Ovis aries: one gene and its partners. The protein of the gene in region 2 purifies or fractionates together with the protein of the main gene of each other region. This does not show direct contact. Links are inferred from orthologs where the notes say so. Each region holds a gene or a part of one and is shown on either strand. Other genes may lie near its edges. The genes, in order: PRDX1, PRDX5 and PRDX2.

Region 1 (9,930 bases), on a different chromosome or scaffold from region 2:
CAAAAACACTTCAAGGAGACTATTTCAGATGAGAAGGACCAGAGCAGTAAGAAAGACCTACACTCTAACGAATGCTAGACAAAAACCATATAATTGAATCTTCTCAGTAATGTTTAGATTTTACAAGGACAGACTCACAAAAACATCTTTAATCCTGAAACTTCTCGAAGGACCTTGAGATTTCATCTCAAACCCTCTTGCCCTAATCCCTCCTCAAAAAATTTTTTATATTGAACATTTATATAATTTGGTATTTGGTGACTATAATTCTTATAGATACAAAAAATATTCTGCACAACAGAATGAATTTTTAAAAGACAAAAATGTTAACACCTATGAGATCCTCCTACACTTTAACAAGTTGAATCTGCAGCAGTAAGTAATTCTAAATGAGCAGGGTAGAAGCTGGGAATACACAGCTGGAACAAAAAGCCTTTATATTCTCCTCCCCAAGCTTTTCTATTACCTCACCCCTACAACCCACTATAATCCAGAGACTGAAATTTCTTAAAGAGACATAATAACCCTTTTCCTATCTGGTAGACTTTGTTCCCACCGTCTTTCCCACCCTATCACTCCACTGTCCTGTCACCAGGCAAACTGGCTTACCTTCCCCATGTTTGTCAGTAAACTGGAAGGCCTGAACTAGTCTCAGTGTCTCATCCACAGAGCGGCCAACAGGAAGATCGTTTATGGTGATCTGTCGAAGGATACCTTTATCATCAATAATAAAAAGGCCCCTGCAAGAAAATATTAAAGGTCAGAGGGAGAGATAGTACAGTTTTAGAAATTGCTGTTAGAGTAAATCAGCAGAAACTGGCCTTCCCCTTAGGTCCTGCATAAAGAATGAAACCATTATGCCATCCACCTTAAACTTACACAGTGATGTATATCAATTATTCTCAACAAAACAGGAAGAAAAAAACAAAATAAAAAACGTCTCCACAGATCACAGCTCTACTTATAAAAGATCTTCAGCCAATCATCCAGTTTCCTGGTGCATATATACCTGAATGAGATGCCTTCATCGGCCTTTAAGACCCCATAGTCCTGAGCAATGGTGCGCTTGGGGTCTGATATCAAGGGAATGTTCATGGGTCCCAGTCCTCCTTGTTTCTTGGGTGTGTTGATCCTACAGTAAAAAAAAACACACATACGATCACACTCATTCAAATTCTTCTGTAACAAAAGCATTAACTGTGTCTATCCTACCCCAACGTTGCTAATCTAACTCCCCAGAAAACTTTAAATTCTTTCCATCAGTAAATGGTGGTTTAGTGGCTAAGTTGTGTCCAACTCTTGCGACCCCATGGACTGTAGCCTGCCAGGCTCCTCTGTCCATGGGATTTTCCAGGCAAGAATACTGGAGTGAATTGCCATTTCCTTCTCCAGGGGATCTTTCCAACCCAGGAATTGAACCTGGGTTTCCTGCATTGCAGGCAAATTCTTACCGACTAAGCTATGAGGGAAGTCCAGCGGTAAGTGGCTGAGGCCAATTAAAATCACCAGGGTACACTCAGCTGCAACCCAAGCTGCTTTTTCTCTGCTGCTAAGTTATAAGAGCAACAAGAGGAAGTCAGAGCATTTGCACTCCTTCCATGAGGAGCCAGAAGTCAATACTTGAAAAAGTCTATTGCCAAAGCCTCCTGGTTCCAGTTGCTGCTTAAAAGCTCCTATGCCTGGACTTCCCTGGTAGTCAGGGATTAAGACTTCTACCACGTTTCCACTGCATGAGGCACAGGTTTGACCCCTGGTTGGAGAATTAAGATCCCACATGCCACACAGCACAGCTACAAAAAAAAAAAAATCCATAATTTATAATTTTCTAAAATAAGCCCATGCCAAATGGACCAAGAGATTTACCATGCCAGGTGACAGAAGTGAGAATCCACAGAAGCACCAATTACTTGGCAGTTCAGTTTCTTAAATTCTTCTGCCCTATCACTGAAAGCAATGATCTCCGTGGGGCACACAAAGGTGAAGTCAAGAGGGTAAAAGAAGAACACAACATATTTTCCTGGGAAAAAAAAAAAAAAGCCTGTTACCCTTTGAAATAGACTTCCTTGTTTTGCAGAGAATGTAAACCTAAAGACATTTTCCTATGGGAAAAAAGAAGCCTTTTTTTTTTTTTTTCAACTGATGGCAGACAACTGTTAAAACACCAAGATGCGCAACACAGATGATGCCTAGCAGCTACTGTAGAACCTCGGCCATAAGAATTTTCCTTCTTCCATGTTAGCTGCCAACTACAGATAAGCACTGTTCAGTCTAATTTTGATCTTCTCTGAGTAGTTAAAATTAACACAAACACCAAGTTCTTCTGTGAAGAAAAGAAAAAACAAGGATGCAATCATCTACTGCCAATACTCATATAATCAGTGCCCAGAAAGAGCTGAATTGCTGGATTCTCTGCCACAAGGCAACAAGACCAACAAGAGAAAGTCAGAGCCTTTGCTATTCTTCCACAGTGAACCACAGTTAACGTGATAGGTAAGGTCTAAGTGATACCTAAATCACCACAAACATGGTTCAAATAAGTCTGATAGGATGCACAAGCAAAGAAAAAATTTCTAAGACAAAGGTCCCAAAATTCTCCTGGAAGGTAATAGGATTTCTAGTTGGAATTTTATTAAAGTCATTCTGATTACCAACTGAAGTAGATCTTCAACCTGTCAAGCAGTCTCTCACCAACAATTCCAAATATTCACATTTCCAGATACCAGCAATGTTTCAAAATCAAAATATGCTGGTCCTTCTGACACACTTCAACCTTCCCCCAGGGTTTTGCTAACAAGCTTCAGCAGGTCAAGCCCAGGAGGGCACAGAGCAACTCTTCCTAAACCTCATGCCTTTACCCTTAGGCCAGGGTCACCTCCCTATGGTACTACTTACTTTGTTTGCCAGGAGGAGCTTTCCTCCACAGGGCCCCACTTATCTGCTCTCATTCCAACCAGTATGTGGAATTTGTTAAGAAATCTAGTCATAGGTTTTACCCAAAAGCTAACTCTATGAACTGCTGTATCACCAAGAAAGGTATACTTGACGCCTGAGTCCTTAAGTTTAAATTCTAGGAAATCCGTATTTTGAACTGTCCCAGAATACCTTGCTATTCTAGGACAGTAAAGTAAAAAGATCCTCATTAGTATTTGCCTGGTTTCTACATGAAACTACTTAACAGAAAGGAGAGTTGTTCCAATTGTGACATCAATTTTTCTCTGGGGGTAAAATGTCAAGGGAACATGCCTAAACCCTCAATCGTGACACACATTTTGTAAACTGAACAGTTTCACAGCTCCAAAGACTTGAGCTCTGAGACTTTAAATTGTCCAAGGCTTTAAACTGTAACAAGATAATGAGTGTATCTCCAGTTAAATAACTGAGGAGCAATATTGGGAAGATAATTGAGATATTATGTCCAGATATAATGAAGTAGGCACATGCCTTCTCCAGAAGTAGTTTGGACTTGGAGATCTACCCTATGTTCACTGATGATAATCACCACTTCAATAGGAAGGCAACAGCCTCTTATCCTAAAGACAAATGAGATGTAAAAATCATTTTACACTCAAACATGACAAGAGATAGAGTGAACAAGCCCTCCCTAGACTGTACTATAATTTCATATTAATGAACTTAATTACTCTTACCTTTGTAGTCAGCTAGGCTGATATCCTTGAACTGACCATCTGGCATAACAGCTGTTGCTTTGAACTGGGGGGCACGGTGCCCAATTTTGGCATTTCCTGAAGACATATTGCTATCAGCTGGAAAAGATGAGAAAGTGAATTAGAAACAAGTCTTACTTTTCTAGATAACAACCTTCATCTATTTAAGAGACTAAGCTGTAGAAATTGTCCACTGGTCTTGAATATACACATAAACTTTTATAACAGTGAGAAGCATGAACTGAGCTTTCCAACTTTTCAAACAAAAATATTACACATCTCTGAATCTCACCTCTGTTTTCATTTTTGAGGGGAGGGACTGTTCATTTAAGATCTTTAAATTTTTATTGGAATATAGTTGATTTACAATGTTGTTTTCATTTTAAAATGGGAATTTCTTTATAAACTGAACTCTTCCTGTTCCTGAACCATCATCAGTACAACTGCATTTTCCTGTGTACGTTTATTATACAGGTGTACAAAGAGAAGAGGGTGGAAACTCTCAAACCTGGGCCCAAAGGTGCAATGCCATAAACACTAAGCACCCAAGCCTCAGAAGCTGCCATGATGCCCTTTCCCTGGACTGCACCTCCATCTGCCTTCAGAACGTGGGAAGCACACGTTCTTTCTCTGGGTAGATTTCCCAAGACACACACCCTAAAGCCAATCCAATTTTTTAAGAGGCCAAGTCCAAGATTATGGCATCTCTCAATTTCAAAATTCTAAGTGTTGTGTTTAAAGCCCAGAAGTCCTTTCAAAAGTGAGTTTACCGAGGGACCAAGATCCTGGAAAAATGGTTAGAACAAGAGTCAATTTATTGCCAAAAAGCAACGTAACACTGGATTCACCCTGGTCAAGAACATGGTAAGATTTAACCCAGTAAGTCATCAGTTTGATAATCCCAAGAAGCTAACTTTTCAAGTCCCAAAATTCTTGGTTCATAATACTACAGCCAAAAGAAAGACTGAACATCGACTGTGACAATTTTTTTTTAACCGCTTAACACCTATAACAGCAAACCAAAAAACCCAACCAAACACAGGAGGTGACCCTAATATACATGTCCTCCTTATTCAAACCTTTTCCAAGGGATCCCTACGTCCACTAAAGCACGACCAAGAGCGGGAGGCGGGGAAGCTGGAGTTCCACCGGGTGTGTCCCCTTCAGGAAATCGCCCCTTGAAGGTCCCTGGTGAAAGCCACTCCGCCAAAACCCACTTCTTGTACCCTCCCTGCCACTCCCATCATCACCCCCACCCTAGCGTCTCAGAAAGCTCCAGAAGAGTGCTCAGTCTTCACCGAGGACATTTAGAATCACTACAAACCCCATTCTGCAGGTGGAAAAATAAAGACGGAGAACGGAATCTTAGTAACTTTCCACACCTGAAGACCGGGAACAACCTCTCCTTCTACTACACGATCGACTGATAGCTCTCAGTTCCTGATCAGTTTGCAGATTCACTCGAGAAGTTTCCCTTACCCGCGCGTCAGGAGACTCCATCACCACCAACCCGCCCAGACGCCACGCCAAGCCAATCAGCGCTTTCTGCTTGTATTGCTGGGGGTAGGGGAGACTCAAGCTGCCGTTAGCCTCGGGTTTCAACCTCGTCCCCGCACCCAAAGGAGCCCCACACGAGGGTCGCTTCGCCTGGCCGCCTTCTTTGTCCGAGGAGCCCAGCTGAGTTCAGCGGGCCCCGAGGAGAAGACGGGAAAGGTGACGGGCGGGGCGGGGGCGCGGCCCTCATACTCACCAGTTCCAGAGAAAGAGGACCGATACCAGCGAGGAAGAAGACGCGCGAGGCGTGCGCGGGGCGCTGCCTTTATAGCCTGTAAGGCTCTCGCGAGAGTCAGGGCGGGCCGGGGGTGCAGGCGGGGGGAATGGGGAGGGGGATATGGCCAGCACACCGCCGGGACCCGACGTGCCCTGCCAGGATGACTCAGCGCTTTCCCTTGCTGGGGGCGGGCTCCCGCCCTTAGAGTACCAATCCCCCTCTCGCCGCCGACGGTTGAGGCCTGAGTTTGAGGCGCTCTTTCAGTCCTTTCAGAACACGAACGCCTCCTCCTTGTTCGTAAGGCCCAAACCAGGGTACGGGCACTCGCTGCTGCTCACGGAAGACTACGTCTAACCAAACCCTGAGGAGAACGATCTCTTCAAGTATTTCTGAAATATTCCGCCCCTGTTTCCGCAGCCTCTGCTCTAGTACTGATCCTCCGTGTGTGTGTGTGTGTTAGTCGCTCAGTCGTGCCCGACTCTTTGCGACCCCATGGACTGCAATCCACCAGGTTCCTCTGTCCATGAGATTTTCCAGCAAGGATACTGGAGTGGGTTGCCATTTCCTTCTCCAAGGACTGATCCTCCGTAACCCTCATTATTTAGACAGCCTCTCTTATTGTTCTTCCTTATAACAGGGTTGTTGCATTCCAGCTCCCCTGCATGAGTTCCTTTCCCATTCACTCCACTGCGGCTGCAGGAAATCTTTCTGAAATTTGATCTCATTCATTCACCGCTCTGATTTGTGGTTTATAGAAACTGGGGCTCTGTCTTCCTGGGTTAAAACTCTTGTTATTTTATGTGTGGCCTTAAGGCAAGAGTCTTAATCAATCAGCCTTAACTTTTCTCGCCTGTAGAATGGGAATACTATGAATTCTTTGTTGAGATCATCTCTAGCTTATTTAGCAATTCTCACACATGAAAGTGTTAGCTGTTGTTTTTAGTGTAACTCATCTTGCTCCTCTGTCGTAACTCCCAGGACAGAGAGTAACTGTTTGAAACCTCAGGCTTTTGTTCGAACGTGCAGAACCTGTTCTCTCCTATTTGGCCTGCAGAAAATGTGTCAGCTGAGGCATTACCTTCTGGTGAAACTCTTCTGACTTTCACTGATCCTCAGAATTCATTCCATCCTTTCTGCTCAAACAGTAGCCTGCTTGGTCACAACCATCTCTGCGCCCTCAAGTCACAACATAGCATCGGCTATAAAATAAAGAGTATTGAATACATATGTTAGGTAGTTAGAATAGGAAACAGGAGTCCAGAATGGCTGTGGCTAAAAGGCAAGGAAGGGAAAAGCCCGCGAAAATAGAACAAAGGAAGGTTGAGGACTGGAATGAGGACCTCAGGTGGAACAAACAGCACTCCAGGCTAGCCAAGTTTACATAGGGCAGGCCCAGGGGGAGGAAAAAACATAACACATAGTACTGTGTTCCCCTTTCTGCCCATAGCCCCCACTACCTTATCTCCTTTGGAGCTTATAGCAGAATAAAAAGTAGGGAAGTGCTGTGTCATTCTGATTGAGCATCTCAAAAATTTTTTCGCATTTATCATCCTACCGCACAACAGTAGTGATTTTTTTTTCCTTTTTTTCCCTCTCTGCCTGAGATGAACAGTTATTTGGCCATTACTCATGTCCTTCTTTTTTTCTTTTTAATTGGTCATAGCCATCCATTACTGTGCTCAATCAAATTTTATTGTTTTTTTAATATCTATAATATTTTCCTTTATTTATTTATTTTTAGTTGTGCTGGGTCTTCGGCACTGTACCTGCTTTCTTTACTTGCTCTGGGAAAGGGGGTTGCTATGCTTTGTTGTGGTGAATGGGATTTTTATTGAGTTGGTTTCTCATGTTACAAGCACAGACTCTAGGCATGCAGAGTTCAGTAGTTACTGGCCCAATGGGCTCAGTTGTGTTTTAGCATGTGTGATCTTCCTAGACCAGGGAAGATCCGTAATTGAATCCATGTCGCCTGCATTGGCAGGCAGACTCTTATTTACTGCACCACCAAGGAAGCCCCTCATTTACTTCTTGAGGGTTCAGGGGAAAAAAGACATTCAGAGTTTAGTGTTTTTGTGTAATCAGTCACTCAGTCCTGTCCCACTCTTTTGCGACCCCATGGACTGTAGCCCACCAGGCTCTTCTGTCCATTCTTTTGTCCAAAGGAATTTCTCAAGCAAGAATACTAGAGTGGGTTGCCGTTTCCTTCTCCGGGGGATCTTCCTGACTTAGGGATCAAACTTGCGAATCCTGCATTAGCCTCAGAGCTTAATAGTGGATGGTTATTGCTGTTAAACCAACAACACACAGTCCTACTTCACCCAGAATAAAATTGCCATTTATTGTATCTACCATGTGTCAGGCCCTGGGCTGGGCACTTGAGTTTGTCTTATTTAAGAACCAAGAGTTATCCTGGCCCAGGGAAATATTAATATCCAGTTCTTGTGGGAACATAAAAAAAAGAAATAGGACAGTTCTAACAAGAGAAGAAATCTATTGAATGCATGTGTAGAGTCTCTTTCCACAAAGAACTGTAAACATTTTGGAAATGGGGGCAGGGGAACTTTATCCTTCTATGGGACCTCTGTCCTCCCTGTTCTCCAGTAGTTCTGGGAAGGATTTTATGTTTTATTTATATTTGTAGTACCAGAACCCATCATGCTAACTGGCCTAGGAGATGTGCTTAATTAATTTTGGAAGGTACTACAGATTTTTGAGATGTGGAGTTGACTTACTTGAACTACATTTTAAGATGATGATTCTAGCACCTGTGTGATAGATAAACATAGTGACTAGGAGACAAGAGACCAACTGGGAGGCTACTGCAATAGTCCAGATAAGAGAAGTCTCACAGGGACTTCCCTACTGATCCAGTGGCTAAGAATCTGCCTTTCAATGCAGGGGGGCACAGGTTCGATCCCTGGTTGGGGAACTAGGATCCCACAGCAATCGTAACTAGTAATGAGGGGCAACACTGAGCAACTCAGTGCTTGAGCCATGTCAAAGATCCCAAGTGCTGCCTCTAAGACAGAATGCAGCCATATCTAACTAACTAACTAACTAAATATTTTTAAAAAGAAAAAGAGAAGTCTCAGAACTGTAATGACATTGGCAGCAGGAAGGGAAGAAGAAGAGAAAGTATGTTTATACAGGCTTTTGGATTAATTGCATTTAGGGTGAGAGGAAAGAGGAGGTTCAGTCTGATTCCTTGGTTTTATAGGAAACGTAGGAGGAGACAATTTTAGGTTAAAAATAGCAATGAACATTTGTTGAGTACTACCTGTTTTATAGATGAGATGCCTGATGCCCAAAGAATTTAAGTAGATAATCTAAAGTCACAGCTGAGTGGTGCTGGAGCCAGAGGCCATCCAGGCCAGCAGAGCCATCATGTTGCACGTGAGGCAGATGTACCATTTACATAGACCATAATGTGGACGATGCCCCCTGGAGATGTGCCTTACACTGGTTTGGCCAGGCTGACTCTGGAGTCTACCTCATTACTGACTCCTCTCTTAAAGGAGACAATAATCAGTTTGGTTTGAGGCAAACAGCACTGAGATGCTCACAAGACATCCAGGTAGAGGTATCCAGAGTTGCCTTTTGGAGATGAACATTTGAAAATCAACAGCACAGAGGTTTAGTTACATACTTATTTTTTTTCTATTTATAGGAGGCCTATTCTCTACTAGGTAACAGACATGCAAAGATATTCAAAATACCATCTATTGAGGTGTTTTGAAGTACCACTAAAGAGTTAGCTAGGGCTTCCTCCCTGGTGGTTCAGTGGTTGAGAATCTGCCTGCCAATGCAGAGGACGCAGGTTCCATCCCAGGTCTGGGAAGATCCTACATGCTGCAGGGCAACTAAGCCAATGCACCACAGCTACTGAGCTGCACGCTGCTGCTAAGTCACTTCAGTCGTGTACAGCCTGTGAAATGAAACTACTGAAGTCCACACACCCTAGAGCCCATGCTTTGCAACTAAAAAAGCCACCGCAATGAGAAGCCTGCACACCACAACTAGAAAGTATCCCCCACTTGCTGCAACTGGAAAAAGCCCTTGTGCAGCAACAAAGACCAAGGACAACCAAAAATAAATAAATGAATAAAAATAACTTTTAAAAAAAGTTAGCTAAGGAGAAGGAGTTAGCTAAGATCCAACCAGTCCATCCTAAAAGAAATCAGTCCTGATTATTCATTGGAAGGACCGATGCTGAAGCTAAAATTCCAATACTTTGGCCACCTGATGTGAAGAACTGACCCATTGGAAAAAACCCTGATGCTGGGAAAGATTGAAGGCGGGAGGAGAAGGGGACGACAGAGGATAAGATGGTTGGATGGCATCACCAACTCAATGGACATGAGTTTGAGCAAGCTCCGGGAGTTGGTAATGGACAGGGAGGCCTGGCGTGCTGCAGTCCATGGGGTCGCAAAGAATAGGACACGACTGAGCGACTGAACTGAACTGAACTGAAGGAGAAGAAAAATGTGGAATGAG
Region 2 (9,586 bases):
CATCGAGTACAGCTGTCCGGCCTCCAACGAATGCGAGATCACCAAGCGGAGACGCAAGGCCTGCCAGGCCTGTCGCTTCACCAAGTGCCTGCGGGTGGGCATGCTCAAGGAGGGTGAGCGCTGGCGGGGGCCTGGATGAGGCTGGGGAGCTGGGTGCATGGGGTCGGGCCGGGTGAGGCCTGGGAAGTCCTGGCTGACCGGGCTGGGCAGGCGGGCTCTGGAGAGCAGGCCCCGTGGACACAGCGCTGTCCTGCAATTCAAGGGGTACGTCTGGACCGTGTCCGCGGTGGGCGACAGAAGTACAAGCGGCGGCCAGAGGTGGACCCACTGCCCTTCCCAGGCCCCTTCCCTGCTGGACCTCTGGCAGTAGCTGGAGGCCCTCGGAAGACAGGTGAGAGCGCAGTGGGGTCCTTGGGGCTCTGGGGTCAGGGTGGGCAGTCTGTCTGACGTCATTCACACGGGACAGTAGTTATCTTGGGTGCTGGGACCCATGTCGTCCCTTCATCTGTTTGTTCACACAATTCCCTCAAGAAGTATTTACGAAAATACCCTTTTGTGTGTCAGACCTCGAGCAGTACAGCTGGGAGCATGGAAGGTTTTCTAACGTTCAGAACCTGTCCACAGACAGACGCTTTCCCTAGGAGATAGTGCGGCGTTTCCTGGAGAGAGGTGTCCGAGCCAGGCTGGCCAGTGGCTATTGAGGAAGGCCACAGGGGGAGTGACTCTGGGAAGATGTTTGACCCTGAAGGGCTGGCAGAGGGATGAATGCGTGCCTCTTCCAACTGTCGCTACAGCCCCAGTGAACGCACTGGTGTCCCATCTGCTGGTGGTTGAACCTGAGAAGCTGTATGCCATGCCCGACCCAGCGGGCCCTGACGGACACCTCCCAGCTGTGGCCACCCTCTGTGACCTCTTTGACCGAGAGATCGTGGTCACCATCAGCTGGGCCAAGAGCATCCCAGGTAAAGGGCCCAGGCAACGTGGGGTTTCCCTGGGTAGGCTGGGCCCTGCCTGGCTCTGGTGCAGTTGCTTAGCCGGCTCTGGTCCCCCTGCCCTCCAGGCTTCTCGTCACTGTCACTATCTGACCAGATGTCAGTACTGCAGAGCGTGTGGATGGAAGTACTGGTGTTGGGTGTGGCCCAGCGTTCCCTGCCACTGCAGGATGAGCTGGCCTTTGCCGAGGACCTGGTCCTGGATGAAGAGGGGGCGCGAGCCGCTGGCCTGGGGGAACTGGGGGCTGCCCTGCTGCAGCTGGTGCGGCGACTGCAGGCCCTGCGGTTGGAGCGCGAGGAGTATGTTCTGCTGAAGGCCCTGGCCCTCGCCAATTCAGGTGAGTTTGGGGCTTGTACTGATGGGTTTCTCTATAAGGCGCTTTGGTTTTTTAACTGTGATGGTGGCACGCTCCCACTTTGCAGACAGGGAATACAGGCTTAGGCAAGAACAGTGACTTGCTGAAAGTCACGAAGCCAGGTGAGGACAGGTCCAGGAAATGCATGCTGAATTCTGAGCCCTAGTGCCTGTGGTTTTGTAGACAGGTGATCCACTTAGTGGGAGGGAAGGGGAAGGGGACCAGAGGTGGCCATAGCTGAGGAAGGAGGAGTGGGCCCTGGCTCATGGGCAGGAGCAGTGAGTAGTGCTTCAGCAAATCTTGGTGTGGCTCCTTCTTGGGCCCCTACCTGGCAGTGCCCAGGTTGATGTGGCTCTGCCCCTTCTGGAGATGGCCCATGTCAACAGTTCTGTCATCTTGCCTTGCAGACTCTGTGCACATTGAAGATGCTGAAGCGGTGGAGCAGCTACGAGAAGCTCTACACGAGGCCCTGCTGGAGTACGAAGCTGGCCGGGCAGGCCCTGGAGGGGGCGCTGAGCGGAGGCGGGCAGGCAGGCTGCTGCTCACACTACCGCTCCTTCGCCAGACAGCGGGCAAAGTGCTGGCCCATTTCTATGGGGTGAAGCTGGAGGGCAAGGTGCCCATGCACAAGCTGTTTTTGGAAATGCTCGAGGCCATGATGGACTGAGGCAAGGGGTGGGCATGGGTGGGGGTGCTGGCAGGACCCGCCCAGCAAGGGGTCAGCCCCAAGAGGGCAGAGCTGGGGTCTGGGCAGTGCCACAGCCTGCTGGCAGGGCCAGGGCAACACCATCAGCCCCTGGGAGCAGGCCCTACACCCTCCCCTCCCCCCTCCTTGGGGGTGTTAGAAGCTGGGAACATGTGCGCCCAGGCTCTGGGCACAGTGCTGCCCCTCGCAAGCCATAACGTGCCCCCAGGGTGTAGGGGGCCTTGCGGAAGCCATAGGGGGCTGCAGGGGACATGTGTGTGTTGGGGGGGTCGGTGGGCAGAAGCCTGATCTCAGGGAGGGAAGGGAGTGGAGGCCACAGTCTCCCAGTGGGTGATGCTTTTGCTGCTGCTTAATCCGACTTCCTCTCCAGATCGGAGGGGGATTTGGAGAGCAAAGGCTCCTGCTCCCTTTGCTCCTCTCTCATCATTTGCATTGGGCGTTACTGCCCCCCCCCACCTTGAAGCAATAACTCCAAGCAGGCTCCAGCCCCTGGACCCCTGGGGTGGCCAGGGCCCCCCATCAGCTCCACCCAGTCTCCTCAGGGGGCAGGGAGAGCACTGCCTCTATGCCCTGCAGAGCAATAACACTATATTTATTTTTGGGTTTGGCCAGGGAGGCGCAGGGATATGGGGCAAGCCAGGGCCCAGAGCCCGTGGCTGTACAGAGACTCTATTTTAATGTATATTTGCTGCAAAGAGAAACCGCTTTTGGTTTTGAACCTTTAATGAGAAAAAAATATATATACTATCGAGCTCAGAAACACTGTGTGTGGCGTGTCACTGGGTCAAGGGTTAGGGACACATAGGATAGGACTAACAAACAAGATAACGTGTAAACAAAGATTCACACAACCAGAGGGAAAAACCGGCGCCTGGCATAGTTTAAGTCTCAGTTTCCTCATCACTCAGCAGCATATTGGGGATCCCACGGCTGATGGGGAACACACGTCCCGACTCTGGGCATTGCAGGGTGCCCTCCAAGACCTCCACCTGCGGGAAGAGGGGACCAGAACTGAGCACTGGCAGTTGTCAGGTGTGGGTGTACAGCCAGGAAGCAAGCGACGGGTCGGTTCTCACCTCCAGCAGCACGTGGTGCATCTTTCTCAGAAATTCCTCGTTATGCTCATATCCCTGAATCGGCTCTTTAGGCACCTCGATGAGATGCAGCTGTGGGCAAGAGGCTTAAATCATCTCGGCTTCCCAGACGCTCGCCTTGATGGCTGGTGTAAAGGGCTGCAGTTAAGACTATCCCCCCAACCCCCCGCCACCCACGGTGTGCACGGGGCTGGGGAGGTGGGTCCTCACGTTGTCCGCAGCCTCCAGAAGCGCCGCCCACTCCACTTTCGGTATCATACGCACTATGAAGTCGGGGTTGAACTCCACAGGGTTGATACGGACTTCCGTGGCCTGAGGGGCGCAGAGATTTAGTTAGGCAAGGACCGGATCCTGATTCTCCTACCCTCGCCCCCGGGAGAGGTGCCCGAGACGGCCAGTACCTGGAGACGCAGGGGGAAGCCACGGGGCCCCACCCCTCGCACGTGCGAGCTCAGCAAGTTGTGGGTGAGCAGCCTCATGTCTGCGCTGCGCGCTCCCGCACAGCCGGAGCCGGAAGGACAATGGTCTCTCTCTACATCATTTCCGGGGCTGTCCCGCTCTATCCTATTGGACGCCTGGGAGGAGCGGAAACGGCGAACCTTCCGGACTTCCGGTCCTCGCCGGAGCCGAGGTTGGTTGGTATCCTGCGCAGCTCCTGGAAGCGTCTCGGCAGGAGATTGCAAAGGCGCAGGCCCAGTGGTTTTGGCTGAGCTAATGCTACAAATCATGTACAATGTAAATCATACGTAACACTGCTATAATGCAAAGGCCTTCGTGTAATGCAAAATAAGTACGCTTTACTTATTTACACAGGCGCCTAACACCACCGTCTCCTGCCACTTGCTTGCGGTTAAGAAATGGAAATACTGCCCCAATCCGTAAATTACACAATCGAAATAGCGGCAACCCGGCCTTGTATGCAAATAAGCCCCGCCCGCTCGCACGCGCGCCGGTGATCCACCCCTAATACGGAGCTGGTCGGAAGCCCCGCCCATTCGTGCGCCGTCCACGCCTGCGCGGTGGCCAGGTAACGTGCGCCGTTCTACTTTTTGCCCTGTCTTTCGCAGGATTGCGTCTTAACGCTCCGGTTCCGCCCAGCGTACTACCTCTGCCTCGAGGTGTGGGCGGGGCTGTTCTGACTCTATGACTCGGCATGAGTCTGCGGTGGTTACGAGTCCTGGGCTGCAGACCGGGCTCGGTGGTGTCCCGGGCGACCATCGTTGAGGGTGCGTCAGCGACAGCGGCGGGAGCCCGAGGGTGCCTGGAAGGAATCCTCGACTGGACTTTTGGCGGGGTCCGAGGTTTCAGAAGCGCTGCTGTAGCCATGGCCCCTATCAAGGTGACCGCGGGCCCAGCCAGGCCTGACTTCTTTGCCTCCCCGACTCCACTCATTTCTGCACGCCCCTTCGTCCCGCTTGTCTCTGGGAGAGTCACCGTCTTTCTTACCTTCCCTCTGCCATAGAGGCTCCTCCCGCCGTCCGTTCCTCTTGTTTCCTTCAACAAGACCCCGGTAGCTGCAACGATATCGCCAGTTTTAGGGGTCTCGTGCCCCATCTCCTCTACAGTTCTCAAGGCTTTGGGGCCTTCCCCTCGTCTCCCTGCCGCACCCACTCTGGGACACCTGTGACCAGTCTCCACCATTTTCAGGTGGCGTGCCATGGCTTCCCCCACCTATGGAACCATCTCCTTTACCCTTTTTAACCCCTATACGTGCTCGTCTACACGCCCTTCCGCTGCTTTTGTCAAGTTACTGGGTATTACTCTCACCCCATCCTTTGAAACAGGTGACGACGTCTCTTAGAACCCTGTTTTGTCTCTCCCACTGCACCCTTCTGCTGAGTTTTTCAGCCCTTTTATCTTCTGGAACCATCCCCAGCTCCTTGGGGCTCCCCCTTGCTTCACAGTCTTCTGAGAGCCCCTCCTCCTACTTCATCCTACAACCCACTGCTGTGTTTCTCCAGGCTCTCCCTCACTCCTGCCTTTGCCCCCTTTGTCTACTTTTTCTGGCCCGTGAAGCCTGCACACACTCCCAGGAACGCTGATCCCTCTCCCTTGAAGGGAGTCCTTCTGTACTCATGCTCCCCAGCTGTCCCACCTTCTGCTGCCCTCCCATTGTCTCGTCTTGCGTGTGGGACGCTCAGCTGTGCCCGGCGTCCTCTCCCTCCGTGTTGTCAGGGCCTCCTCCTGCCCCTCTGTCCCACTTCTTTCCTGTAACTCACCTTGTTTACTCAACCTCTTGTGACACCCAGAGAGGCCGTCTCTCCTTTTTCCTGTGGTCACAGATTGGCCCTTAAGAGGAATAGGGCCACCTTGAAACTTGGAGGGTGTGGGGTAACCAGGCGGTCGCAGGAAAGGGGCCACTGGAATCTCTGACAGCGGTGGACTTCCCTGCCGGGTGTAAAGCCTGGCTCCACAGGACCAGGCAGGGCTGCTCAGCCCTCAGTGGGCACCCCCACCCCGCTGTTGCGGCCCTGCCCCTGCCCTTACCTCGGAGTCCTTCCTTCTAGGTGGGAGATGCCATTCCGTCGGTGGAGGTATTTGAAAAGGAGCCCGGGAACAAGGTGAACCTGGCGGAGCTGTTCAAAGGCAAGAAGGGAGTGCTGTTTGGGCTCCCTGGTGCCTTTACCCCTGGCTGTTCCAAGGTGAGGCCTGCGCAGTTGGGATCTTATGTGCATGTTTATGTTGTTCACGAGTCCCGCATGGTCCTGGGACCGCTTGTACCAATGGGACGTAGGTGATACGACAGTTAAAGAAGCTTATCAGGCTTTTAAGAAATAAGTGGTGACTGAGTGTAGGGATGTAGGAGAAAAGGTGGTGCAACAGCTCTCATCGATCCTGCTGGGTGACGGGGCTGTGGAAGGGACTTGGGACCCGGGTAAATGAGACGGTCCTGCTCACGGGACGTTCATAGTGTTGAGCAAGGAACACTTTAATTTGGATCCGAGCTTAGTTGTTGCTGTTTAGTCACTAAGTCGTGCCAACTCTCTGCAACCCCATGGACTGTAGCGCGCTAGGCTCCTCTGTCCATGAGATTTCCCAGACAAGAAGACTGGGGCGGGTTGCCGTTTCCTTCTCCAGGAGATCTTCCTGATGGAAGGATCGAACCTGCGTTTCCTGTGTTGGCAGGTGGATTCTTTACTGTTGAGCCACCAGGGAAGCAAAAAGGAACTGTGGCTTACCCAATTTTCATTGTCTGATCAAAGCTGTTGGCATTGGGAAATGAGGAGGGCTTGGAGACGAAGGGTAGGCTGAGGAGCAGAGGCTGTTACCTACCTGCTGACTCTCTGGTTCTCCTCCCCAGACCCACCTGCCAGGGTTTGTGGAGCAGGCTGGCGCTCTGAAGGCCAAGGGGATCCAGGTGGTGGCATGTCTGACCGTTAATGATGTCTTTGTGACTGAAGAGTGGGGACGTGCCCACAAGGCAGAGGGCAAGGTGAGCTGTGGATCCTGCAGGGGATCTGGGGCCAAGGTGGAGGTTTTTTTGTGACTTTTGCTTTCTCCTCAGGTTCGGCTCCTGGCAGACCCCAATGGGACCTTTGGGAAGGTGAGTGCACTCCCAGCTTCCATCCTGGGGAGCAGCCAGGGGACCTGGCCTGTTCTGGGGGTTCCTGACCTTTCCTCTGCTTCTCCTTTCAGGAGACAGATTTGTTACTTGATGATTCACTGGTGTTTCTCTTTGGGAATCACCGACTGAAGAGGTAAAAGTGGGAGGGTCCCCCTTGGGGGTTTGCTTGCTACCCCGCCTGACTCCATTGCCAGCCTCCAGGCCCAGGCTGTTTGACGTGGCCCGGCCCTTCTTTCTGGCAGGTTCTCCATGGTGATAGAGGATGGCATCGTCAAATCCCTGAATGTGGAGCCAGATGGCACAGGCCTCACCTGCACCCTGGCTCCCAACATCCTCTCACAGCTCTGAGGCTTGGAGCCCAGATATCCTCCTCCGGCACTTTCCTGTTTCACCTGCCCAGTCCTGGGCAGAGGGCCCCAGCCTAGCCTGTGATCACTCAGCTGAAATCTTCGCCAAATTTCTGCAATAAACACTTCTGGTTTATATCTGTCTTCTTGGTTTTGAATTGCTGCTTTGCCCAAGCCAGGCCTCACTGACAGTCCAGCTGTTAGGGTAGTGGGCAGAGGCTGAAGTGGGGACTCATAAAGGACTCTGATTTAACTTAGACAGTCAGAGAAGGCCTCTTGAGGGAGGTTTCATGAAGCATCCATCTACAAGCTGAGAAAGGGCCAGCGGTCTGAAGAGTGAGAGAAGGAGCGGTCCTGCTGAGGGAGCTCCTCGGGAAAGGCTCTGGATAGACCCGAGCTTGGCTAGGGCCCGTGACCTTTTGCATTTGATATCTGGATGATAGCCGATCTCATTTTGACTGCAGACCTCAGGGTAGAAACTGGCCCAAGGCATCCCCCCCTCATCCCCCCCTTTTGGGAGCACCCACATCCCAAGAAGGGCCCATGGCACCTTGGGACCATCTGATGGGCAAAAAGGGCTCCATTGGCAGAGCCAGTGCTGGTTCAGCCCCAGGGGTGGGAGGTGATGGGTGGTGCAGTGTCCCGTGGGCAAAGTCTAGGTAAGCTGTGGAAGAGAGGAGACACTAGTAAGGCTGGCCCTGCAGTGAGTGTGTTGTATGTTGTTAGGGGCCGAGAGTCAGGGAGGCCAGCAGGGCTTGAGGCTGAGGAGCATTCTGTCTGCAGGCCTTGCCCTTGGGCCTCTGCCTCTTGTCCTCAGAAAGCCCTGTGCTTGGAAGCAGGCTTATTAGGCACCAGCTGTGTTAAAGAGCTCATAGTCTAAGGGAGGCAGATGCTTGAGGTATGCTAAAAATCCTCACACGATCCTGGGCGGTGAGAACTGTTATACCACAGAGAGGTTAAACAAGTGGACCTGGCTCCTCCAGCCACGTAAGAGGAGTTTGGATTTGAGCCAGTCAGTTGGCCTCGGGGAGCTTTACAGCCCCGCCCTGGGCCCCGTCAGCACCAGGCTCCAAGGGGTTCTCCCTGCCCTTCCAGGCCATCTGGGGAGGCTCAGGGCAGCTCAGAGCTGGCTAAAGCAGGCTGAGAGATCTCAGGAAAGATCAAGGAAAGGCATCTTGAAGGACACAGTCCTTGAGGCAGTGGGGCTGGTGCGCCTGGCGGCGGGAACAATGTGGCCATAGTTACAGAGGGCAGAAGAGCTCCAAGGTGGTGGAGCATCTGAGTGAGGGCAGGGAGGCTTTTGAAGCCCTGTAAGCTGCTTACATTTCACCCGGCGGGCCCTTCAGACCAGCGAAGGATGTCTGTAGGGCAGTGACAGGTCAGAGTCATACCTGGACTCCTCTGTGCAGGTAGAGCTGGAGAGGGGCAGGCGGGAGGCCGAGGAGAGGCCAGTGTGCGGCAGGATTGATGACTTGAGTGTCCAGGAGGTGGGGGCTGGTACAGGCGACCTGGGGGTGTTGGAAGGGTGAGTCCCCGGGGGTGCTTGGCTGGAGGTCTAAGGGGTGGGAGAGGAGGGTCCTCGGGAGGGGGCCAGCCTCCCTGCAGGGGTCCCAGCTGCTCAGCCTGCCTGAGCCAGCTCACCCACTGACCTTTGTCTCCTCAGTTCTCTTCCACAACCTGTCACCGCTCAGGAGTCCTGGGTTGGGGCAGGACAGAGGGCTGACCACCCCTCCAGCTTCCTAAGCTCTTGTGACCTGTCCCCACCAAGCCCTAGGTCACAGCACTGTCCTGGCTTGGATGGCAGGAAGTCCCTTTCTTTCCAGACACCATCTCTCAATTCTCTTGTTGTACAGATGAGGACACAGAGGTGTATGTAGACGTCACTGTGTGCACCCTGTGAGTGGTCTGGAGGCTCCACAAGCCCGAGAGAGAAGTGAGTGTCTGAGCTGGCAGCTGGGCTCTCGGAGCCTGGAGTCTGCTGGCCAAGTGGGGCCCCTGCGGGCCGGCACCCTATTCCTCTTCCCAGCAGACCTCAGGCCACCCTGGCAGCTCCTCACCATCAGGGCAAGCCCAGTCTCCATCGATGCCACTCAGCTGCCTCTGTGCCTCCACTCCTGACCTCATGTCTGGACAGGCTGAGGTCCAGTGAGGCCTCCGAAAGGAAGCGTCCCCTCCAGGATCCCGTTGCCACTGGCTGGGCCTTTATGGCAGGGTGAGGGGTCTTCTAGGGCCAAGGTGACCCCTTTGGACAGCATGATGGGAGTTGGGTGTGGGTGGGGGTGGGCCTTCGGTCTCAGTGGCCCTGGCTGCTGGCCGGGGGGCTGGGGGTGTCTTGTGCGCTGCTCCAGGTGCAGGACTGCTTGAGATCAGCCATCTCATGGTGTGCGAATCCGCCTGCCAATGCAGGGGACACGGGTTTGACCCCTGGTCCAGGAGGACCCCACATGCCGCGGGGCGACTAAGCCCCCGTGCCACAACTGCTCAAGCCCACCTGACAGCAGTGGGTGTGAGCCCCCTGGGCTGTTG
Region 3 (9,673 bases), on a different chromosome or scaffold from region 2:
GGCAGCCCCCACCCCACGGCTGTTTGTGGCTTGCTCCTGTAACTGTGTCAACCTCGCCAGTTCTGTTCAGGCATCTTGCACCCTCAGCCGGGTGTCCAACCCTTCTGGCGTCTCCTGATCTCCCGGATTGGAAGGTCCAGGGTGTGTACACAGTCCAGCCACCCTTCCCCCCCCCCCCGCCCCCAGGGCCAGGGGACAGGATGCCTTGGGCAAAACGCTCAGCGCGCAGGCGCGGCACCTCCCAGCCGCGCGCGCCGGGGCTTTCCCCGCTGACGCTGCGGAAGCGCTGTCCAAACATGGGCTGATTCTGCCCAGTGACGCGACGGCGGTCTCCGGGCAGATTCCGGGAATCCCCTCCCCCGCTCTGCCGGGCAGGGCTGCGGCGCCGGGAAGGGGGCCGGGATTTTCCCAGGCTGGCGGCTACCGAGGCCCGGAAAGCCCCAGGCCTGGGTCCAGAGCGTCCGCGGTGGGCGGGCCGCGCTCCAGAGCCCCAAGAGCTACCCCAGAGTTTCCCCCATCGGGCTGGCCCCTGGGTCCTGCCCAGCCCACGCCCGCTGCATTTGACCTGACCCGGGCGGGGGGATGCAGTTGCCTGAGCGTCGTTGCCACCGCGATCCCCTCCCCACCCCCGCCAGGAAGGGCGGTGCCCGCCTGCCAGTTTCCCCTCCCGGGTGCCAGGCCGGGAGCGGGGCGACTGCCAGGTCTGGTCCTGCCGGGGCGGCTGCTCGGGCCGCCGGGCGCCGCCGCCGCCCTCGCACGGGGCTGCCTCCCCCGCAGCTAGGACGGGTGGGAGGGCGGCTGGCGAGCCCCGATGGGGATCTGGCAGGCTTCGGAGCTGGAAGCCCCCAGAACAGCAGAGAAAAACACAGACCGAGAAACCAGGCCACAGGACCTAGGTGCCGTAGAACAAACGCTCCATTAATTTGTTTATAAAATACTGAACGACCCGGTCCTGGAGTCACTAGCTAGACCAGGGCAGACAGACTATAAACAAGCAAACATGATTTGGAGATGGTGGTTAGTGCCAGGAAGAGAGAAAAAAAGAAAGAAAAAAAACTGGTCACAATGGTCGTGATGGAGCAGGGGAGGTGAGCTGCTTTGGAGAATGAATTGGGAACACGGAACTTTAATGAGGCGATTTTTCAGCTGACCCCTGAGAAAATCCTCAGTAACAGAGTTCTGCCAGAGAGAATAGTATATGCAACGTTTCTGTGGCCAGAACAAGATCAGCCTGTTAAAGAACACCAAGAAGCCACTATGCTTCAGTGGAGTGAACACACCGAGGTGGAGATGAGGTCAGGGAAGGCCATGTAGGGCCTTGTGGAGGGGTATAGATAAAATTCCAAGGCCAAGGACTTCCCTCGTGATCCAGTGGCCAAGAATCCGCCTGCTGGTGCAGGGGACTTGAGTTTGATTCCTGGTTTGGGAAGATTCCACATGCTGCGAAGCAACTAAGCCAGTGTGGTATGCCACAACTGCTGAAGCCAGCGCTCCAGGGCCCCTGCTTCAGAGAAGCCCCTGCCCTGCAGCTAGAGCAGCCCCCACTCACTGTGACTAGAGAAAGCCAACACTCAGCAATGAAGGCTTAGTGCAGTCAAAATAATTTAAAAATTTAAAAACAATAGAATAAAAACTCCAAGGCTGAGATGAGTGACTTTGGAGGGCATTAGGCGGGAGTACTACTAATGGTGGTGGTGGTTTAGTCACTAAGCTGTGTCTGACTCTTAAGTGACCCCATGGACTGTAGCCTGCCAGGTTCCTCTGACCATGGGATTTTCCAGGCCAAGAATACTGGAGTGGGTTGCCATTTCCTCCTCCAGGGGATCCTCTTGACTCAGGGATTGAACCTGCAACTCCTGCATTGTAGGCAAATTCTTTACTAAGCCACAAGGGAAGCTTAATTTAATAATGAGTCTATGGATTAAATGAGCATGTCAGTCCTGTGGAAGGAAATGAGGGCTAAGAATGGCAACACCACTTGCCTGAAAAAGTACAGCATCAAACTTTGCACCTTAGAACACTATGTTGCTCCTAATACCTGCCTTCTTGTCTAACCCTCACCCTTCCATTTCAGGGGAAAGACATAGACTTTCCAACCTCTGGTGGTACAGAACTTGCAGCAGGAACTATGCATGTACCTCATCCCCCTCTTGGTTCTACTTTCAGGATTGGGTCCCCACCTTCTTCCAGTCCCTGGAACCTGGTCCTATTAACCATTAATAGAATCCTGATCTTCACATACTTATCTCTTTTAACATGCATTGTCTTCATTCCCATTGGTCGTCTTTATTCCCGTTTTGCTATTGAAAAGACCCAGGGAAGACCACAGCTCCTAAGCGGCTTTTTAACCCAGGCTGGCTGCTGTTAAGGTGTGGGCGCTGCCCTGCCTGGCCAGGTTTCAGGTGATAAGGCAGCCTGTGACTTGCTCCCTGCAAGGGGCAACAGTGCCAACCACCTTCCCTTCAGGCCACAGAGAAAGAAAGCAGTGAGCATGAGGCAAGACTGCCACCTTGTGGCGGAGATTGGTAACCAGAATGTCAGTTTCCCAGGCCTCAGCCTGGAGAAAGCAGCCGCGGGTGGTACCACACCAGGACAAACCACACAAACACAAGACTTAGATCTGTCCCTAATACTTTATTAGTCACCTATAGGCCTGTTCCCAGTTATGTGGGCTCCAAGGAGGGGGTCACCATTCACCAGCTCGCAGCTGGGAGCTTGAGAAGGACTTGGCCTAACCCTCTGTGGTCATGGACTGTGGAGTCTGAAGGAGCAGGTCTGACATTTCCTGGGTCAGTACAGAACACACAGGTAGGGGCACAGAGGCAGGCCAAGAGCCCAGGCTTGCCACCATCTGCCAGCCTAGTTGTGTTTGGAGAAATATTCCTTGCTGTCGTCCACATTGGGCTTGATTGTGTCACTGCCTGGTGTCCAGCCGGCAGGGCAGACTGTGGAAAAACAGGGATGCACAGGAGAGGCTTGAGTGCATGTTCAAGGGAGAACGGTAGTGAGGGGACAAAGAGAGGCGCAAGAGCATGAGTTGCAGAAGAAAAGGCCTAGAGCCAAGTGCTCCAGGCCTAAGACCATGCCACATGATGAAAGAAGCCCTCCATGCTCAGCTGCAGGACTGTCTGACATTTTTCGGGGGCTGTACCTCAAGGCATGTGGGATCTTAGTTTTCCGACCAGGGATTTGAACCTGTGTCCTTTATAGTGGAAGTTTCAACCACTGGACTGCCAGGGAAGTCCCTATTTTATTTTTTGGTCATGCCATGTGCCTTATGGAATCTTAGTTCCCTGATCAGGGACTGAACTTGGGCCCTTAGCAGTAAAAGTTTGGAAACCACTGGACAGCCAGCAAATTCCCTGGCTGATATTTTAATTTCTTTCCGACTCCTTTAATTATATCTTTCTCTCTTAGCCCCCGTCCCAGTGGACTTCGAGGGCCAGTGGCCTTCACAGGAGAAGATAACTCTGATCCAATTAACATTCAAGCCTGCCTGCCTTGGTACAGGCCTTCTCAAATATCTTCTATGGAGTTCTGTTACCTCCCCAGTTGTCTGCCCTTATATTGGGGTAGTATCTCCCCAACCGGACTAGAAATTTCTTGCAGACCTTGAGCTGAATCTTCTCTGGGGCCCTCACATCCACTCCACACAAGCAATACAGCAGACCATGAACATATGTGTGCATGACCCAGGGGCTGCGTATGAACCCACATGTGGACACATGTGAATGGGTGTGTCTGCTCACCTTCCCCATGCTCATCTGTGTACTGGAAAGCCTGGACCAGCCTCAGAGCCTCATCCACGGAGCGTCCCACAGGCAAGTCATTGACGGTGACCTGGCGAAGGACACCCTTGCCGTCGATGACAAAGAGGCCCCTGAGATATCGGAGTTCACAGTGAGGAGCCGCGGCGCCCACTGTCAGGACCCAGGGAGGGAGCAGACTCCCTGCTAGCCACAGGGTGAGAGTGGTCCCCTCACCCTAAGGATGGGGGCTTCCCGAGGTTCCCACAGTACCTGTAGGCGACCCCCTCATCTTCCTTCAGCACGCCATAATCACTGGACAACTTTCTGGTTACATCAGCCAGCAGGGGGATGTTCAGTGGGCCCAAGCCTCCCTCCTTCCGGGGAGTGTTGATCCTGGGGGCGGGGGAGAGAAGGTTGGGACCTCAGGATGGCTGGTGCAGCAGGGTCCTTACCCTGTGATAAGGGCCTGGGTGCGATGAGGGCTGGAGAAGGGGGTGCTGGAGGTGAGAGATAAGCAGCCTGAAAGCAAGTCTCAGGGAGCCCCACCCACCCCACCCTGAAGTGGCTGCAGAGGCTGCTTCCCACAACTGGGAAGACTAAGTTAATACTCTAGCAAAGTAACTTCACGTGTGCAGCAGCAATGGGAGGCAGAGAACCTGCCCTGAAGTCCTCTTTCGAACTCTTAAACTGGAGTTTCCATCTGGCTCAAATAGTTCTTGGGAGGGAGGCTGCATTGCCTTAACTGAGATAAAACATTTATCAACGCCCTATGCCACAGAAACTGCTTTCCAAAGGCTAATTACTGCCATCATCCTGAAGGACTTGGGAATCACCCTCTCCATTATTTTCTTGCTGGGAAAGGCATACGCAGAGGTTGCCCACTGACCAGGAGAACACACAGCTGGGGCCCTAGAGAGGTGTAGGTTTAGTTGTACCCTCCCTCCTTGCTGGTGATCTCCATTCCTACCAAGCCAGGTGGGTGAACTGAGAGTCGACGGAGACGCCCAGCACCTCGCAGTTCAGCTTGTGGAACTCCTCAGCACGGTCGCTGAAAGCTACGATCTCCGTGGGGCACACAAAGGTAAAGTCCAGCGGGTAGAAAAAGAGGACCACGTACTTCCCTGGGGAAAGGGGTGGGAAGAGACGAGAAGTTGGGGCTCGGGCCCTCTAAGGCTTGTGCCCCGCCCCCACCGCGGCCCCCATCTAGGCCCTCACCTTTGTAGTCGGAAAGCTTCACCTCCTTGAAGGCGCCATCCACCACCGCGGTGGCCTGGAATTCCGGGGCGGGCTTTCCGAGGTGCGCCTTGCCGCAGGCCATGACTGAAAGCTGAGAGGCCCCCCCCGCCCCACCCACGCCGGGTCAGTGTGCTCTGGACGACCCTTTGTCTTCACTTCCCAAGGTCACGCTGCATATCCGGCCGAGTTACCGAGTCAGAGCGACGGAGACACTTGCGGCCCTGCCCCGCACCCTGTCCGGGACCAGGTCGGCGCGGCCGGGAGACTTTAGGAGACCCGCCCACCTGGACAGCTAGGGCGGCCGGGCTGCGGCCGCCCGGTCCCCAGCTAGCGTGTCGGCCGTAGCGCGATCGCGCAAGCCCACCCGCCCAGAAGATGTCGCGAGTTGGGGACGGGAAGCATGGGGATGCGGCCGGTACTCCAAGGTTCTGGCCTCGGTTTCCCGCCCCCCACCCCCACTCCCACTCCCGCAAGGACAAAGGCAGCCGCTACGGCGGGCGGAAAACAAAGGCGGCCGGCGCTGAGGTCTGGATTGGGCCTGAGCTGCTCCAAGGGGGCCCATCCCGCAGCGCGATGCACTCTCGGTGTCCATACCTGCGTGGGTAAGGGCGAGACGCACGGACTCTCGGATGCACGGACTTGATTTCGCAGGGCCAAGCCAGCCCAGACCAGCGGCGCCTTTTATAGTCGGCCCGAACCAAGACGCCTAGGGCACGGGGAGGTGGGCGGACTTACGGAGCGGTCGGGTCCACTGCAGGAAGCGCAGGGGAGGGGAAGCAGAGCCGGCCGCGACCACGCGCCCGCGAGTGGCGGGGGGAGACGCGCAGTCTCCGGCCCAGACCACTACACCAGACTGCGGGGGGTGATGCGCGGGGCCTTCTCTTTGGAGCGCGCCGGGGTCGGTTGGAGTCCGGCATGGCCCGGAGCCGGGCGGCACTACTACTGCCGTCTCTGATGCTCCTGCTGCTGGTGACCCCTTCCCAGGTCTCCCCCGACTACCAGTACTTCGGCCAGCAGGGCGAAGGGGACACCTGGGAGCAGCTGCGGCTGCAGCATCAGGAGAAAGGTAACTGCAGGCCCCGGATATGACAGTGCAGAAAGGGGCCTCATTTGCCCCCACCTCACCATCTGGCTGCAGATAGACCCTCCTCCAGGGACTTCAAATTTCTGCCTTGCTGAGCCCTGGGGGTACCTCTTGGGCTGGTTACTTTGGCTTAGTTTTCTCATATGTAAGTTAAGATAATGTCTTTAAGCAGTATACACAGGGAGAGGGGAGTGGACAGGCAATAAATACCAATGCAGACGTGTCCATAAATTCATGGATAAGTGCTGAGAAAGGCAGAGATAGAGAAGGCAGGGCGCATGGAAACTTCCAAAGTCAGAGAAGGCCTCCTGGCTGAAGATAGGTAACCAGTGCAGCCAGAATAACAAGCAAAAAGCCCCAAATGCGAAAATGTAAGGGGAGGAGCGTGCCAGTGAGTCAGAACAGCAAGTGCCAAGATGGAAAGAGAAATGGAAAGAGGCCAGTGTTGTCTGGCAGAGGCTTCATGAGGGCATGAGGTGTCAGGACTTTCTGAGCCCCAGACTTGAGCTAAGACCTGTCAGCTAGGGCCATAGGGAAGAGTCTGTAAAAGAACAGTTGTAAAGGGCGTCTGATAAATGCAGCTGCTTTAAAAGTGGTCAAGATAATTGTTTTTGTATTCCCATGCATAGCCAGGGGCTTTAAGTACCTTCATTATGCTAATTATGTCCTTTAATTTGCCACCTGGTAATGCTGCTGGTCAGGTGACACTGGACTTGTTGGACCGGCTTGTGATCACAGCCTTGTAGAGAGGAGTCACCTTCAGACGGTGGCCACCAAGTGTGTTGTACCACACCCCCAACTGGACAGGCAGGCACAGATGGGACGTGTCATTTTGCAGCCCATCTGGGCCGCTCACCAGATGTGTGAGCTTGGAAAGGTGGGTTGCTCTTCTTAGGTCTCAGTTTCCCCACCTGGGACTAATGGGAAGATTAGAGATCATCTGTGTCGGGCTAGGTGGCAGAGAAACACAGCTGAGCGAATATGCTGTTGTTCAGTCGCTCAGTCGTGTCCGACTCCTTGCGAACCCATGGGCGGCAGTTCGCCAGGCTTCCCTGTTCTTCACCATCTCCCGGAGTCTGGAACTGTTATTTGTTAGTATCTTTCTCCTCCGCCCTCCTTAGAATGCGGGGATATAGGTTCCCCCTCTACCTGGCTCTCCATCCCTAGAATTGGAAGACTCTGTCCTTGGCCCTTGGGGAAAGTGGCGCTGTTTCTGCGACCTGGGCAAGCAGGAGCGCAGCCGCGAGGTGGTGGGCACGTCGCCGGGTCCGGTGTTCATGGACCGCGAGAATCTGGTGCAGGTGCGACCCTGCCGGCAACGGGACTGTTCATCCTGCGAGCCGAACGACTGCGACTGGAGGCTCTGAGCCCGGGTGAGCAGCGGGCGTGGAGGAGGCGCCCCTCCCCCGCCCCCCCACACGCACCCTCGGCGGGCTGGCTTGTCGGGGCCCTGAGTCCCCAGGATGGGAGGAGAGAGAGGAAGGGCTGAACGTGGGAGCGCGGGCACGAGGCGGGCATCGGGAAAAGGAACACTAAATCTGGGGCTTGAGCAGAGCGTGGGAAAGGAGAGCTGAGTTAGGAGATGTGAGACCCGCTGATATCCGAGGAGAAAGGAAGATAGACGGTGGGGGTGGGGAAGGGGAAAACGGAGACGGAGGAACAGAAACCCACAAGCTGAGGGCGTGAGCCCTGATGAAAGCAGAAAATAGAAAGAGATGCATTCGTTGGAACAAATCTAGGAGGCGTGCTCCTCGCTAAGACGTGAGAAAAAGGGAAAAGAGCAGAGAAGGGGGCGAGGGCTTGAACCCTGAGTTTGGCAGGGGGAGGGAGCCTGCTTGATGGACGAAGACTCTAAGCCGGATTCTGGAGAAGTCTGGGATCTCTGTTCAGGGGTAGAGGAGGATTAGCCCAAAGAGAGGATACGAAGCGGGCGGGGGTAGGGGGGAGGCGCTTCCGGTGAGCTACGAGGGAGTTGGGGGTTCCAAGTCCGAAGGTTTGAGTCCAGTGGGAGCCAGAATTCCTACTATAGGGGGCTTAGACTGTGTGGCGCTCCAGGGACCTCGAACACAGGAGGGCCTGAAACCAGATGAAGGCCGGGAACTCGGTGATGCGGACACCGAATTCTCGGAGTCTAGTGGTATTTGACCTTCTGGGCTTTGACGGGGCTTCCCACGTGGCTCAGACGGTAAAGAATCCTCCTGCAATGCGGGAGACTTGGGTTCGATCCCTGGGTTGGGAAGATCCCCTGGAGGAGGGCGTGGCAACCCACTCCAGTATTCTTGCCTGGAGAATCCCATGGACAGAAGAGCCTACAGTCCAAAAGGTCGCAAAGAGTCGGATACGACTGAGCGACTAAGTACAGCACAAGCTTTGATGAGGTCGAGTCCTTCAAGTCTCCCCCTCTATTTCCCCTTGTCTGCCCACTAGCCGCAGCGGGAGGAGCTCCAGAGACACCGGGGCGGAGCTTGGAAAGCGACACCGCCCACCCGGTTCCCCAAGCGCGGAGCTCGCTTGTCAGCCTCGGAAACTACAATTCCCAGGAAGCCGCACGGCAGCGGCGTCGGCGAAGGCTGCGCAAACGTCAACGGCGGCTGGCGTGTTGGGGGCGTGTCCTGTGTGCCGATAGGTCGAGAGCTGGCACTGTTGCGGAGCCCGCGGAAAACGCCCGGGGAGACCTTTCCTTGCAGACTTCCTTACTACGGCTGGTGGCGGCGGCCGAGGCGGCATGGATCTCAGCGAGCTGGAAAGAGACAATACGGGCCGCTGTCGCCTGAGTTCGCCTGTGCCTCCTGTGTGCCTCAAAGAGCCCTGCGTCCTGGGCGTCGATGAAGCGGGCCGGGGCCCGGTGCTGGGTGCGCCCCCCAGGGCTGGGTGGGGGAGGGGCATGATAAGGGGAATGCAAGTTGCAGTGGAACCGGAGCTGGGGTTGCACCAGCCTCGGGAAGGGGGGTGATAGCGGTGATGGCGATGGCATTGGTGATGGCACCGAAAAAAAAGCGGTGATGATGGACTAGAGGTGGCGGCTTTCACGGGCTCACTGGACTCCCTCTTCCGCAGGCCCCATGGTCTATGCTATCTGCTATTGTCCTCTGTCCCGCCTGGAGGATCTGGAGGCCTTAAAAGTGGCAGGTGAGCACTGAGGTGCGTCTAGGGAGGGGGTTCCTGGGCATGGGCACTGGTGGGTGCAGGCTGGAGGGGAAAAGCAGGAACTGCGGGATCCAGCCCCTCCCCTTCTCTCCCAACCCTCCTCCCAGACTCAAAGACTCTGTCGGAGAGCGAGCGGGACAGGCTTTTTGCGAAAATGGAGGAGGACGGGGACTTTGTGGGCTGGGCACTGGACGTGCTGTCTCCAAACCTCATCTCTACCAGCATGCTTGGGCGGTGAGGGGTCCCGGAGGGTGGGGGAGGGGGCCGGAAGGAGGGGCAACCAGAGTGGGTTGGAAAGGATGGGTGGCTGGAACGAAGTTGACTCGGTTCTGTCCTCCACCACAGGGTCAAATACAACCTGAACGCCCTCTCTCATGATACAGCCACAGGGCTAGTGCAGTTTGCGTTGGACCAGGGTGTGAACGTGGCCCAGGTGAGCTAACTGTTGGATTGCCCC

What was found.
Region 1: the proteins of PRDX5 (region 2) and PRDX1 fractionate together in Homo sapiens (co-fractionation; 3 studies listed by BioGRID). This does not show direct contact. The link is inferred for Ovis aries from reciprocal best matches to the Homo sapiens genes PRDX5 and PRDX1.
Region 3: the proteins of PRDX5 (region 2) and PRDX2 fractionate together in Homo sapiens (co-fractionation; 3 studies listed by BioGRID). This does not show direct contact. The link is inferred for Ovis aries from reciprocal best matches to the Homo sapiens genes PRDX5 and PRDX2.

The regions. Positions count from the first base shown.
Region 1 is NC_056054.1:20,140,480-20,150,409, forward strand, and holds the start of PRDX1 (peroxiredoxin-1), read right to left. Parts: upstream 5,460-9,930; 5' UTR 5,166-5,459; coding exon 5,048-5,165; intron 3,765-5,047; coding exon 3,648-3,764; intron 2,018-3,647; coding exon 1,864-2,017; intron 1,133-1,863; coding exon 1,010-1,132; intron 741-1,009; coding exon 610-740; intron 1-609. UniProt on the Homo sapiens protein: Thiol-specific peroxidase that catalyzes the reduction of hydrogen peroxide and organic hydroperoxides to water and alcohols, respectively.
Region 2 is NC_056074.1:39,059,449-39,069,034, forward strand, and holds PRDX5 (peroxiredoxin-5, mitochondrial), read left to right. Parts: upstream 1-4,221; 5' UTR 4,222-4,301; coding exon 4,302-4,487; intron 4,488-5,655; coding exon 5,656-5,790; intron 5,791-6,449; coding exon 6,450-6,581; intron 6,582-6,653; coding exon 6,654-6,692; intron 6,693-6,784; coding exon 6,785-6,846; intron 6,847-6,955; coding exon 6,956-7,061; 3' UTR 7,062-7,196; downstream 7,197-9,586. Other genes in the region: ESRRA (steroid hormone receptor ERR1), read left to right, coding at 1-113, 263-391, 795-962, 1,061-1,330, 1,756-2,015; TRMT112 (multifunctional methyltransferase subunit TRM112-like protein), read right to left, coding at 2,936-3,043, 3,131-3,220, 3,359-3,460, 3,550-3,627. UniProt on the Homo sapiens protein: Thiol-specific peroxidase that catalyzes the reduction of hydrogen peroxide and organic hydroperoxides to water and alcohols, respectively.
Region 3 is NC_056058.1:11,028,373-11,038,045, reverse strand, and holds PRDX2 (peroxiredoxin-2), read right to left. Parts: upstream 5,068-9,673; coding exon 4,965-5,067; intron 4,871-4,964; coding exon 4,717-4,870; intron 4,143-4,716; coding exon 4,020-4,142; intron 3,881-4,019; coding exon 3,750-3,880; intron 2,946-3,749; coding exon 2,860-2,945; downstream 1-2,859. Other genes in the region: THSD8 (thrombospondin type-1 domain-containing protein 8), read left to right, coding at 5,901-6,051, 7,237-7,436; RNASEH2A (ribonuclease H2 subunit A), read left to right, coding at 8,795-8,921, 9,127-9,198, 9,324-9,450, 9,562-9,649.